Sus scrofa: one gene and its partners. The protein of the gene in region 2 interacts with the protein of the main gene of each other region in a pairwise test. Links are inferred from orthologs where the notes say so. Each region holds a gene or a part of one and is shown on either strand. Other genes may lie near its edges.

Region 1 (4,228 bases), on a different chromosome or scaffold from region 2:
TTCTTCCTCTCTTCCCTCCTCTCTTTCCTACCTTCCAAGAAGAATTTGTTTAGAATCTGTTATATGCTAGGTTTCTCAGATTTTGCAGACTTCTTCAAAGTATGAGAAGAAGCCCAGGAGAAAACTCAATCCTTCGTTGAGCCCCAGATCAGCGCCTTTCTGTCTTGAGCCTCTCCCATGAATGGAAGAACAGCTCCTGGTCTGATGTTGCTGAGCTTCCCACTTTGAGAGACTCACGAGTTCGGAAAGCAGAGAGGAGTACTCAAACCTTAGATTTACATTTTGACTCTCCAAGCCCCATTTTATAAAGGGATATTGTATCATCTAAGATGCCTTAACGCAAAGTATTTTATTTGTGGTGGTCCCCTTACTGGGCTCCCTGCTTCCAGTCTCTCCACACCCCGATCTCTGCTCCCCACCATAATCAGAGAAATCTTTCTTCAAGTTCCTGTCCTTGTCTTTCTCCTGCCTGAAGTCCTTCACTGGCTCCACATCACCTATAAGCCAGAGGTCAAGCTCCTTAATACTACCCAAAGGATCTTTATGCTCTGACTCCAGGTGCCTCCTTAGCCCATGACCTCCTTATTCCTGTCATATAATTCATACTCCAGCAGCATCAAACTACTCACAATGCACCAGGCATTTAGGGCATCTTCTGCACCCATACTTTTGAATGTGCTGATCCCTCTACCTGGAACTCTTTGCCATTATGCCACTCTCTAAACTGTGCATGTTCTTTCATTGTTACACTCATCCCTGTATCATAATTTATTTGCTCAGATCTTTGAGTGCAAAGACTGGGAGTTGCCTCCGTGGCTCAGTGCCTGGTCTCTGGAAGGCGCTCGATATATATTTGTGGGATGAATGGCTGGCTGACTGATAGATGAGGCTCATCTTTTTTTTTTGGGGGGGGAATTCCTAGGCTAGGGGTCAAATTGAAGCTGTAGCTGCCAGCCTATGCCACAGCCACAGCAACGCGGGATCTGAGCTGCGTCTGCCACCTACACCACAGCTCATGGCAACGCCGGATCCTTAACCCACAGAGCGAGGCCAGGGATCGAACCTGCATCCTCAAGGCTATTAGTTGGATTTGTTACTGCTGAGCCCCGACAGGAACTCTGAGGGTCATCTTATAAGAGAAAAATCTTCTCCTGAGGACAGGATGTTAAGGTGTCCATGTAACAGGCCCCCAGAGATGATGACAAATGGCCTTTTCCTGAGAACTCAGACCTTGGAGGAGAAGATTGAGCTGTGGCTTAGGGCAGGCAAGGTGCCTAAACTAGGAATGGGGAACTTTGAGATGACACAATGACCTCTGGTGGGACTCACTTCCCTTTTCCTCTGGATAAAAGTCCTTGGGGAGACAGCCAGCTGGGAGCACCTGTGCCTTGAGTTGGAGCGTGCAGGATGAAGGCTGTGGAGAGCGAGGTCCATGATGCGCACTTCACTGTAGACAAACAGAACATCTCCCTATGGCCCCGAGGCAAGCAGCAGCTACCATACCGAGCCTGCCCAGGGCGCTGCACCCAAACCCAATCTTTGCTGGTCCTGCAACAAACCTTCTCTTCTTCTTCCTGCAGAGCCTCCTCCCAAGACGGGTCCGTATCTGGTTCTGGGGCGGTGTCTCACAGTCCGAGCTGCCGTGGTCTTGCTGACGCTGGTCCTGGTCGCCTCCATCCTGCTGCAGGCCATTCTCTGTAAGTCCTCAGCCCTGAATGCCCTCGGCCCTTCCCCTCGGCCAGCCGGCTCCCTCGACATCCAGACCCTCTCTCCCCTGCTCGCTGGTGCCCCTCCCCAATGGCTTTCTCATTTGTCTTATTCGCCCTCTTGTCACGTGCAGTCAGAGAGTCCCCCATTCCCAGTAAGATCAGCTGCTGCTCCTTCCTCTGCAATTCCAGGGAGGTTTTCCTGACTGGGATCAGCACGCTCGGGCTCAAGGATATGCTGTTTTGACCCCAGGAAATGTTCACCCATCTTCATCCCCTGTCATTTTCTCCTCCCTCTCTGAGCTCTGTGTCCCTTCCATTCAGAGGTTTAGGGACAGACTCAAAAGTGAGCAAAACGTTTACTGACCCCACAAGGGATGGAGTCCTCACTGTATCATCAGCCCCACCTGAACCTGGCCGACAGGACAATACATCTCCCTGGTTTGCCCCCTCATCAGGACCCTGTTGCGCTCTCTCCATTCTCCCATTCCCAAGAAGGTCGTTCAAGGGAGACCTCCTGCTCTTCATTGGCTGTGTGACTTATTTTCCTCTCTGGCTTTGCTAAGCTCCATGGCCTCTGCTGCTTGTAGAAGCTTCTTCCTCACCCTGGGTCTCCAGAGGGAGGGAGTGTTTGTCTTCTCCCTTCTAGGTCCCAGGGCACATTTGGTCTTGAACTTGGAGGTTTTTTTTTGTTTGTTTGTTTTTGTCTTTTTGCCATTTCTTGGGCCGCTCCCGCGGCATATAGAGGTTCCCAGGCTAGGGGTCTAATTGGAGCTGCAGCTGCCAGCCTACGCCAGAGCCACAGCAACACGGGATCCCAGCCGCGTCTGCGACCTACACCACAGCTCACGGCAACGCCGGATCCTTAACCCACTGAGCAAGGGCAGGGACTGAACCCGAAACCTCATGGTTCCTAGTTGGATTCGTTAACCACTACGCCACGACTGGAACTCCCGACCTCCTCTTTTTTTTTTTTTTTTTTCAAGGGCTGCACCTGCAGCACATGGAAGTTCCCAGGCTAGGGGTCAAATTGGAGCTGCAGCTGCTGGCCTATGCCACAGCCACAACAACCCCAGATCTGAGCCGTGTCTGTGAACTACACCACAGCTCATGGCAATGCCAAATCCTTAACCCACTGAGGGGGGCCAGGGATTGAACCCAAATCCTCATGGATACTAGTTGGGTTTGTTTCTGCTGAGCCACAATGGGAACTCTGGACTTGGAGGTTCTGAGCAGAGTCTGCTCTGCTTCAAGCCCACTTGGTTTACTTTTGGTTTCCTCTATGACACCTGAGCCTGTGACCTGAGCAGAGTGTGACAGGGACTGGGATCAGGGAGAAATGATTTCTTAACTCTCCCTCTTTGGAGAAGTCACTTCCACATGAGAAGTCTCCATGGCTGGTCCTCCCATGGCCATGTGGGACCTGTGGGCAGTCATGGGAGGGGTGGTGCTACCCTAGCTGATGGCTGATGCAGGGTCTCTGAAAGGGGCAGACTGGGAATCAAGGGATGGTTCCCAGAGTGATGTGGGAAGGGTGACAAGGGGGCGATTAATGGCATCCTTTTACCAAATGTGCCTTAAAAACTCAAAGCAAATTTAGAAGACAATCAAATTCCCACTTCTGCCTACCTGTGAGGCCCTTTACCAGAGCGCCCGTGATTTCTTAATTATTTAATAATAATAAATTTATTATTTATTAACTGCAGTATCTGCATCCCCCAGAATTCCTGGCACATGGAAGGTGCCCATCGCATGTTTGTTGAGTGAATAAATTATGAATGAATGGAGGGTAGGCAACCACTCCTTGGGTTGGGTCCTTGGGAAACTTGGGCCTGTCACTTCCCTTCCTTCCCTTTTCTCACCCTGGCAACCCCCTCTCCAGTCCCTGGGGATCCCCTTGGCTGACCGACCTCCTGACTTTCTCAAATCCAGATCCTTGGTTTATGGGCACAATGTCAGATGTCAAGACCAGTGCCCAGTTGCTGCAAGGTCGTGTGGACAACATCAGCACCCTGAGTTCCGAAATCAAGAGGAACAGCGGTGGTGTGGAGGCGGCTGGCGTTCAGGTCCGGATGGTGAATGCCAGCCTGGATCATGTGCGTTCTCAGATCCAGAGGTTGGAAATCAGTGTGAAGGAAGCTGATGCACGGCTGCAGAAGCTAACAAGTAGTTGGGAAGAAGTCGATAAGTTAAATGCCCAAATCCCAGAGTTAAAAAGAGATTTGGATAAAGCCAGTGCTTTAAATGCAAAGGTCTGGGACCTCCAGAGTGGCTTGGGAAATATCAGCAAGATGCTCAAACAGCAAAGTAAGTGACTCAGAAAGGACCGCTCCAAGCTGACCAGTTGGACCTGGCTGGTCTCAGGCATAAAGCCACTGGGATGGTGTGTGGAGGGAGGGGGAGGGCAACAGAGTAGACGTGGCTGGAAAGTTAAGAAGAGAGGACTCAGTGTTGGGGTTGGGGAGGACGTAGGGGCTGTTCAGGAGAGAAGGAACCAGGGGCCAGCCTGGGCTCCCACACCA
Region 2 (4,062 bases):
TCGCAGAGAGAGTACAGAGCTACACTGGACCAAATCCTTCCCTGCCACTAGTAACACTGGTGAAAAACTGATGTTTTTCTTGTGCATAAACAGTCAGTGATTAAAGATCGTCGCAAAGGAAATTCACTTCCCCTCTTGCTTTTATTAGGGTTCCTCATAACTATAATGATAATACAGAGAATATTCTCCTATGTGATTTCATCCTAGTCTTGGAAGAAATGCGAGGCTAACACCACACTCACCAGGACTGGCATCACCTGTGGTTATGCAGCCAAAAGCAAAGGATGGAGCCCAAACCCTTGCTTCCTAGGTTTTTTGTTTTTTAATTGGAGCATGGTTGACTTACAACGTTGTGTTAGTTTCAGGTGTACAGCAAAGCGAACCAGTCGTACATATAAATATATCCATTTTTTTCCCATATAGGATGTCATAAACAATTGAGTAGATTTTCCTGTGCTCTGCAGTACATTGTTGTTAATCATCTATTTTATACAGTCGTGTGTATATGTTATTCCTACCATCCCAACTGCTCCCTTCCCTCAATGGTTTCCTCTGTGGTAACCATAAGATTGGTTTTGAAATCTCTGAGTTTGTTTCTGTTTTATAAATAAGTTCTTGGTATCATTTTACTCCACTCCACGTATAATTGATATCGTATGATATTTGTCTTTCTCTGTCTGATGTATTTCACTTCGTAGGATAATCTCTAGGTCCATCCATGTGGCTGTGCCTAGTGTTTTTTTATTTGTCTTTGTTGCATCACCTTTTTGGTACAAGGCACAACCTCCTGTAACCAGCAAAATACACAACCTGAATAGTGAGGTTCCCCTAACTTGTACACCTGGCTTCCATGAGAACCCCAGAACTCTTCAACTTCTAAGGACCAAGCAGCGCAGCCTTAAGGCTTCTGTGTGTTTTACCAAACGTGGGCTGGTTAGTTTCTGTGTGTGTAAAGGCATAAAGCACATCCACATTCCTTGCCCTGCTGATCAGGCTCTGGGAGTTAAAGAAAGCATCCCAGCTTTCTATGTTTAGATGCTGCTAGTCTCTGCACCTTGTTGTTTGAAGTCTTTTACTTTTCCATAGACTTTTCTGCCTAAATTCAGAGTCATATGGTGTTCATGTTAGTAAACCGAAAGCTGTTTTTCCCAAACACGTTTATTTTTCCTTTGGAGCAAATGTGAGTAGGATGAAAACCACTCTGTGTCATACTTACATGTTACTCATTAACTGACTTCAGAAAAAATCGCCTCAGCTAGATTAGGAGTCATGTGAAGAAAGAGCTTCCTGCAATGTGAGAATTGAGCAAGGCTGAAAGGCAGAGACTTTCACGTTACTGGGGAGGAGGAGAAATGAGCCCTTGAGTTTATTTCTCGGCGTAGCGATTGACAAGGGCACAATGGTGAAAAAGAGGCTGTCGTCATCCAGCGACACGACGTGGAGGTCTGAGGTTCCGGGCGGCCCGAGCAAGGTGGGCACCGAGGCCCCGCACAGCGCCCCTGACAGCCCCGGCTCGGTGTTTCTCAGGTGAGTACATCCCACCTGCCTCTGCAGGTGTTGCTTGGAGAGTTCCTTCCTCCGGAGGATTTGACCAAGGAGAAAGAGAAGGCACAACCAGGCGCATGGGCGGGTGGGTTTCAAGGAGATTCACAGCAAAGGATGTGATGTGCTGAGCAAATAGAACTCTTCACCACCATGAAGGGATAAAAGTTGTTAGTGCCTTCTTTAGTACTTTTTAGTCCTGGAAACCTGGCCGGCTATGTCGTTACTCAATGCCTTACCCACTCTCAGGTTCACAGACAGTGAAGTCAAAGAGTTAAACTAGGGAAGGGGTAGGGAGAGGGGTGGACTAGGAGTCTGGGGTGAGTAGATGCATATTATTACATTTACAAAGGATAAACAGTAAGGTCCTACTGTATAGCACAGGGAACTCTATCCAGTCTCCTGGGATACATCATGAAGGAAAATAATATTAAAAAGAACATATATATATATATATCTACATATATATCTGAGTCACTTTTCTATACAGCAGAAATTGCCACAACACTGCAAATCAACTATAATTTAAAAAACAATTTAAAAAATAGTTAAACTAAAAACCTCACTTGGATGGACAATTACTGTATTCCTATCGAAATAGTAATGTATTAAAAATATTAAAATAATCTCCCTCTTTTGAGCTTTCTAAATTAAATATTAAAATAGTATTAGCTGTGCTCTCGTTCAACTACTTGCTGTAAGTGATTTGTAGCAGCTTTGACTAGATTCAGAACATGTCTTTTTTTGGCTGTAAATATTAATATCCACATCATCACCACTCTGATAATTACATATTTCTAATGAAAATTCACTTAGGTATTCTTCATTTTGTCTCTTAATAATTCTATGGCAACTTGTACAATACAAAAATCAACTGCAAGTGGAAATAAATAACAAGAAAAACTTCCTCATCCAGCTTTGTTTTTTAAATTGAGGTATAGTTGATTTACAATATTAGTTTCAGATATATAACATAATGATTCAAACTTTTATAGATTTTACTTTCACTTTGCTGCAAACTTTTTTTCTAATGAAAGAACTTTAGGTGATGACATTACATAAGTTTTGTGTTTACAACATTATATTTCTTTCTATATTGTCAAGGTCTAAACAACAAAAATTTGCTTTTCTAATGTTGTAAACTTTGATGTCACTTTCACGTAAACTTACCAAGTCAAGCCGGATGAATAACCTCCACGCTGAAACTTCGCTTTAACATAGTACCATGTTAGAAAGTCGATCATTTATTTTTAATCATTTCTGCAAAAAAGTGCTCAACATTATAGCTTTTTAAAATCAAGTAGAAAACTAAGAAATCTCACTGCATTTAATAGATGTCACCTATCAAACTGTCCGGTGAGGAAAATAAATTCAATAGTCGATAATTTTTTTAAAGAGGTGTTAGGGACCAAGAGTCTGAATCTATGAAAAATGTTTCTTAGTAAATCTATCTAACGTTGGCCTAATGTTTCCATCCCTCATTAAAATGACTCTACCTAACTTACGTTGTGGTCGGTTGAGCAAGAGCACAATTCCTATGATTGAAATGTAAAACTCTTGCATTATTTCCATATTTTGCTGAAGTTTGGGTGTTTCTTAAATCAGTTCATCTCCTTCATCCTTTTCTTATGTTGACTGTAATGCAGACTCTTCTTAGAGCTTAAGTTCTAACCAGGAAAAATACTATTAAATTAAAATACATAAAAATACTTTTAAAATGATAAAGTATACAAAGTATAATTTAAATAAATATTATACATATGATTTAAATAAGTACAGGTAAATAAATGGAATAAAAATAAAATAAAAACCTATATCAACGCAAATTCAAGAACCCTCTTTAAAAAGAGCCCAGGCCTCTTCCACCTGCATATTTGATATATTTCTAAATGTCTTTACAATTTTTAAATGTGTATTAAACCCAATCTAAAACATTACATGTACTTCCAAACAGTTTGACAGTAGATACTGTATGTAAAAATCGTTGAAAATAATTTGTCAGGAGTTTCTGTTGTGGTGCGGCGGAAAAGAATCCAACTAGTATCCATGAGGATGCGAGTGGGTTGGAAATCTGGTGTTGCCCTGAGCTGTGGTTGTAGGTCGCAGATGCAGCTCCGATCCTGAATTGCTGTAGCTGTGGTGTAGGCCGGCAACTGCAGTTCCGATTAGCCCCCTAGTCTGGGAACTTCTATATGCTCTGGGTGCAGCCCTAAAAAGCATTAATTAATTAATCAATTAATTAATTGTTAAAGCTCTCAGGCACGTGTTGGCTAATGATTTGAGGTCAAAAATAAGATAGAAACCAACAAGGACCTACTGTAAAGCCTAAGGAACTATATTCCATACCTTGTAATAACCTATAGGAGAAAAGAATCTGGAAAAGAATATATATACTCATATATATAAACGTATATATATTTGAATCACTTTTCTGTACCCCTGATACTAACACAACATTGTAAATCGACTATACTACAATTTTAAAAAGAACAAATAAAAAGATAAACACTTCCCCTCCCT
Region 3 (4,147 bases), on a different chromosome or scaffold from region 2:
AAGCATGACCTTGGGTAGATCACCTCCATCTCTGGGCTTAAGGGTCCCTCAATGACCTGAGGGAGCTAGACTATTCATTAAAGAATTTCAGGGAGAGTTCCAGCTCTCTCTGGAGCTTTAAAGTCTCAGGTGTTCACCATCACCCTCACCTGGCACTAAAAAGGTGCTTCATGAATATGTGGAGAAGGAAGGAAGGCCTACTTCTCATTTTACAAGACTGAACACTGGGCCTTGGAGGGGCTGGGTGACAGCTCAGGGACAAAGAGCCAGTTAGCGGTTGTGCGCGGAGGCCCTCGAACCCCTGGCCTGGAGACTTCTGGGGTTCCAGGAGAGGTAACAAGGAGAGAGACCATAGACAGAAACCTATTTAGTTTTGTTTTTTTGGGGGGTTGTCTTCCCAACGGAAGGCTCCCTGGAATCCACTGGTCACCAGGCTGGGCAGCTCTGGAATCAGACCGCGGGGGTCCAACCCCAGCTTCCGGACTTGCCGGCATCATGGCATTAGCCTAGTCACCTCTGGGTCGCTGTTTACTCTCGGGAAATGAACAGGGCCTGGCTTAGGGCGCACCAGCGCCTGACCGGTCCCCTCGGGCGGTACTCCACGCCGCAGCACAGAGCACGCCGAGGGCGACTTTCCAGGACTGTTGACGGGCGGCGCAAACCGGAACACGTGGTGTGGGTAAGCGCCATAGTAACAATTAATACCTATAAACTCTCCGTTAGGAGCCAGCGGCAGCGCGCTCGCACTCCTCCGACCCCCAGGCCTAATTTAAGAGCTCTCTCACGTGGTGGTCCCTCAGACGTCCGGGTTCGAGCCTCACGGTGACCTTGGACCGCCTCGCTTCTCCCCGCTGCCCATCTGTAAAGCGGGGATGGAGACCCGACGCAAGGGTCCGAGGACTATCTTCCGCACCAGTGGTGGGGCGCGGGGGCCGCACAATCCGCCTGTTCCCTGCAGGCCCTCGTAGGCCGTCTCTAGGTACCCCGCCCTCCTACCTTCCTGCCGGCAGTAGGCCATAGTGCAGCCCGGCGCTCCAACCTCGCGGTGATCGCGGTGGCTGCCTCACGCCGTGACCTCTCCCCGGCGAGGCGGGCGGCTGGGAGGCCCGTGCGGACCCGCCCCCTCCAGGCCTGCCCTCCGCGCGCCTGCCTCGGAGCTCCTAGCCCGGCCTTCTCAACCGGGAACTACATTTCCCAGCAGGCCGCGCGCCGCCGAGCAACTCCCTAGACAGAAGGAACTGCAATTCCCAGAATGACCTGCAATGCGCAGGTGCACCAGTGAGGTACCGGGTAGGTTGCAACTTCCGGAGAGGGCACCAGACTACGTTTCCCAGGAGGAGGCGCGGCGGGCGAGAGCAGAAAAACCGCGGCTTGCGGGGCGTTGCTCTGTAGCGCATCCTAGGGCTCCGGGCTTCCCGCGCCTTTTGGCCGCCATCTGGCTGTCGAGAGGTGGCGGGATTCCGTGGTGCAGCCGTAAGTCCGTTTTCTTGCTGAGCCGAGTGAGGCGGGCGGTGACCGGATCCTGCCATGGCTGCGAACGTGAGTGTCCCCGGCTTCGCCGGCCACACCCAGGCTGCCTCGTCCACTCTCCCGGCCGCCCGCCGTAGCCCCTTGTGCGGCTAACCGCCTCCGTGCAGCCGGCCCTTCCTCCCTCTCGCTCCCGGGTCCGCTCCTTCCGGCAGGGCAGCCAGGTCGTCCGTACGTGCGGTCAGCACCCGGTGGTCCACGTCCTCCTCGGGGGCGCGTGGTGGTAGAGACGCAACCTCTGGAGGTGTGGCTCTGTCTCCGGGTCCGCTTATGTGCGGCGCCTCCGCGCAGCTCCTTCTTTCCTTCTCGGTTCCCGCCTGCGCCTTTGGGATTCTCACATTTGCGGACTTGAGAGTTGGACGGGACTTCAGACAGGAGTCCCCCATGGGGTGTGTGGGGAGGCAGATATCGCCCTGGTGAAGCTGTCCAGAAACGCACTGTCCTAGCAGGCACTGAGGTCCCCGCTCCAGGGAGTATGTAAACCAAGGCTCTGATGTTGTGCAGAGGGGCAGACTAGTTTGGAGCAGAGGAGTTAGCATGACTGGGAGAGGGAGCATTTCCCTACTGCTGGCCCCTCGTCTTCCTGGCTTTGGCTTGGTTGGAAAGGCCCTGGCTGAGGGCGGTGCCCTTGGAAAGGCAGCTGCTTTTCTCCCTGCTTTTCTGAGGAACCTTTCTATTTAAGCCCCACATTCATTCAACAAACCGAGGGGCACCTGCCAACAGGGTGCTGGGTGTGGGAGAAGCTGGTGACTCATGTTCCTGTCTTCTGCAAAAGTGCCTCTGGTGCCAGCTCGGAGCCCAGCCAGCTGAGGCACTCCCTCCCTCCTGCTTTGGTGGCATGTCCTAACCACTCTCTCTCTTGGCCTTTCACACCCTCTTAACAGGCCCTTCCTCTGTCCCCAAGGTCCTCTCTGCCTTCCACACCCCCTGAGAAGCCAGGGTTTGCCTCACCCACAGCCCCAGCACACTTTGCCTGAGTTTGCATTGTCTGGGAGGCCAAGAAGCCTTTGAAAAAGCACCTAGAAAAGCCTCAGAGGTGGTCCGGGAGACCCAGGGTCTTCCCTCGGCAGAGCGCAGTCAGGAGACCGCCAGCCCCCCCTCCATAATGACCACTTTACAGATAGGGAACTTTCCCAGCAGAGAAAGGCCCTGCCCAGGGTTGCAGAGCCAGCCTGGCAGGCTACATCTTGGGTGAGCGTAGCAGGCTTTGGAGTCGGGCTGACAAGTGGTCTTAATCTCTTGAGGTTTATGTTTCCTCATAGGATCAGTTAACCTGAAATTTAAAGGAAAACCATGCTTAACACACTTAATGCACTATAGGTTCGTACTTAATACATTAAAAAAAAAAAAAAAAAGTAGAGTTTATCCGCACAGTCCTAGTGGACAGAGACCATCTTGGGTATGTTGGTATCCTGACCTTTGTCAAGGAATGTAAATGAATGTGGGTATCCTCTGCTGCCAAGTCTTTGTTGATTCACCCAGCAATGCGGTCCACATTTGGGGGCATCAAGCCATGTGAGGAAGAAGGAAGATGGTGGGGTGGAGCAGGGAGGCAGCAGAATTCTTCTTCACTGAAACAGCCGTCCGTTGATACGGTTACCATCTCCATTCCAAATGAGCAAACCAGAGCAGAGAGGTGGAGCAGCTTACCCAGGGGTACACAGCGGGTGATTTTCAGGGCCCAGATGCAGAGCTCTTCCCACAGCTCACTGCTCATTGCTTCTGATCCTGGAGTAGTGAGTGGGGAGCAGGCAGGGAGGAAATCTCCATGACCATCCACATTTGCTGGGAATTTGGTTCAGAGTGTGAGCTGGGCATGCCATGCTGCTCCCAGCCTGAGGGGCACTTTCTTCCTTTCCTTTACAGCCATCTTCGAGCCCCTTATCTTGAAGTCAGCTCCTAGGTATGTGCTGAGGGGAGGCCCAGGAAGAAGCTAGGTCTTCCCACCCCCAAGGTGGGGTTGCACAGGTGGTAATGGGGCTGATTTCTTTTGCTATCCTGTGCTGCCTGCAGCCGGCTCCTAGTGTTCAACTCCTGTTATGACCCGAGAAGTTAGGAATGCAGTCCAGAGCAGGGTAACAGGAAAGTGGCCTCCAGCCTGCCCAGGTGTGAATCCTAAGTCCACTTCTTAGAGGCTGTGTGATCTCGCCTGGTGATGTAACTGCTGAGCCTCAGTTTGTTTTCTCATCTGTGCAATGGGGTCGTGATAGCACCCTCTCCTTGGGCTTGTCCATGTGATAGACTGGAGTGTTTGCCATTGTCATCGTTATGATGGTTGATGGTCCCCTCCTGCCTGCAGCAAATTGCTCCACTAATGTTTCCAAATGGCCTGGAAGGTCAAGACCATTTCTGAACACAGGACAAGTGGTGCCTAGCAGGCCTGGGCTGGTGGCATTCAGAGACAGTCAAAGAACACGGCATCAGCTTTGTTCAAATGGAGACTAACTTGAATCTCATCCTGCCCCACCCCCAGTGCCAGGATGGGCTAGCTCGTTCTCATTGCTCATCTGGGAACCACTTACATCTTTGTCGTTTTTGTCAGCTCAGCCCAGCCTTGGTACCAGTGATGGAGAAAGCTGATGACATTCCACCAGCCCGTGCCGCACGTGACTCACTGTGC

What was found. The genes of interacting proteins can lie anywhere in the genome.
Region 1: the proteins of GRAMD2B (region 2) and CD207 interact in binary tests that used the Homo sapiens proteins (3 or more experiments, as listed by UniProt). The two-hybrid records come from large-scale screens. The link is inferred for Sus scrofa from reciprocal best matches to the Homo sapiens genes GRAMD2B and CD207.
Region 3: the proteins of GRAMD2B (region 2) and TMEM43 interact in binary tests that used the Homo sapiens proteins (3 or more experiments, as listed by UniProt). The two-hybrid records come from large-scale screens. The link is inferred for Sus scrofa from reciprocal best matches to the Homo sapiens genes GRAMD2B and TMEM43.

What each region holds. Positions count from the first base shown.
Region 1 is NC_010445.4:71,666,850-71,671,077, forward strand, and holds the start of CD207 (C-type lectin domain family 4 member K), read left to right. Parts: upstream 1-1,383; 5' UTR 1,384-1,407; coding exon 1,408-1,483; intron 1,484-1,580; coding exon 1,581-1,697; intron 1,698-3,638; coding exon 3,639-4,013; intron 4,014-4,228. UniProt on the Homo sapiens protein: Calcium-dependent lectin displaying mannose-binding specificity. Induces the formation of Birbeck granules (BGs); is a potent regulator of membrane superimposition and zippering.
Region 2 is NC_010444.4:129,509,819-129,513,880, forward strand, and holds the start of GRAMD2B (GRAM domain-containing protein 3), read left to right. Parts: upstream 1-1,253; 5' UTR 1,254-1,399; coding exon 1,400-1,527; intron 1,528-4,062.
Region 3 is NC_010455.5:70,414,369-70,418,515, reverse strand, and holds the start of TMEM43 (transmembrane protein 43), read left to right. Parts: upstream 1-1,302; 5' UTR 1,303-1,527; coding exon 1,528-1,539; intron 1,540-4,147. Other genes in the region: CHCHD4 (mitochondrial intermembrane space import and assembly protein 40), read right to left, coding at 997-1,018. UniProt on the Homo sapiens protein: May have an important role in maintaining nuclear envelope structure by organizing protein complexes at the inner nuclear membrane. Required for retaining emerin at the inner nuclear membrane.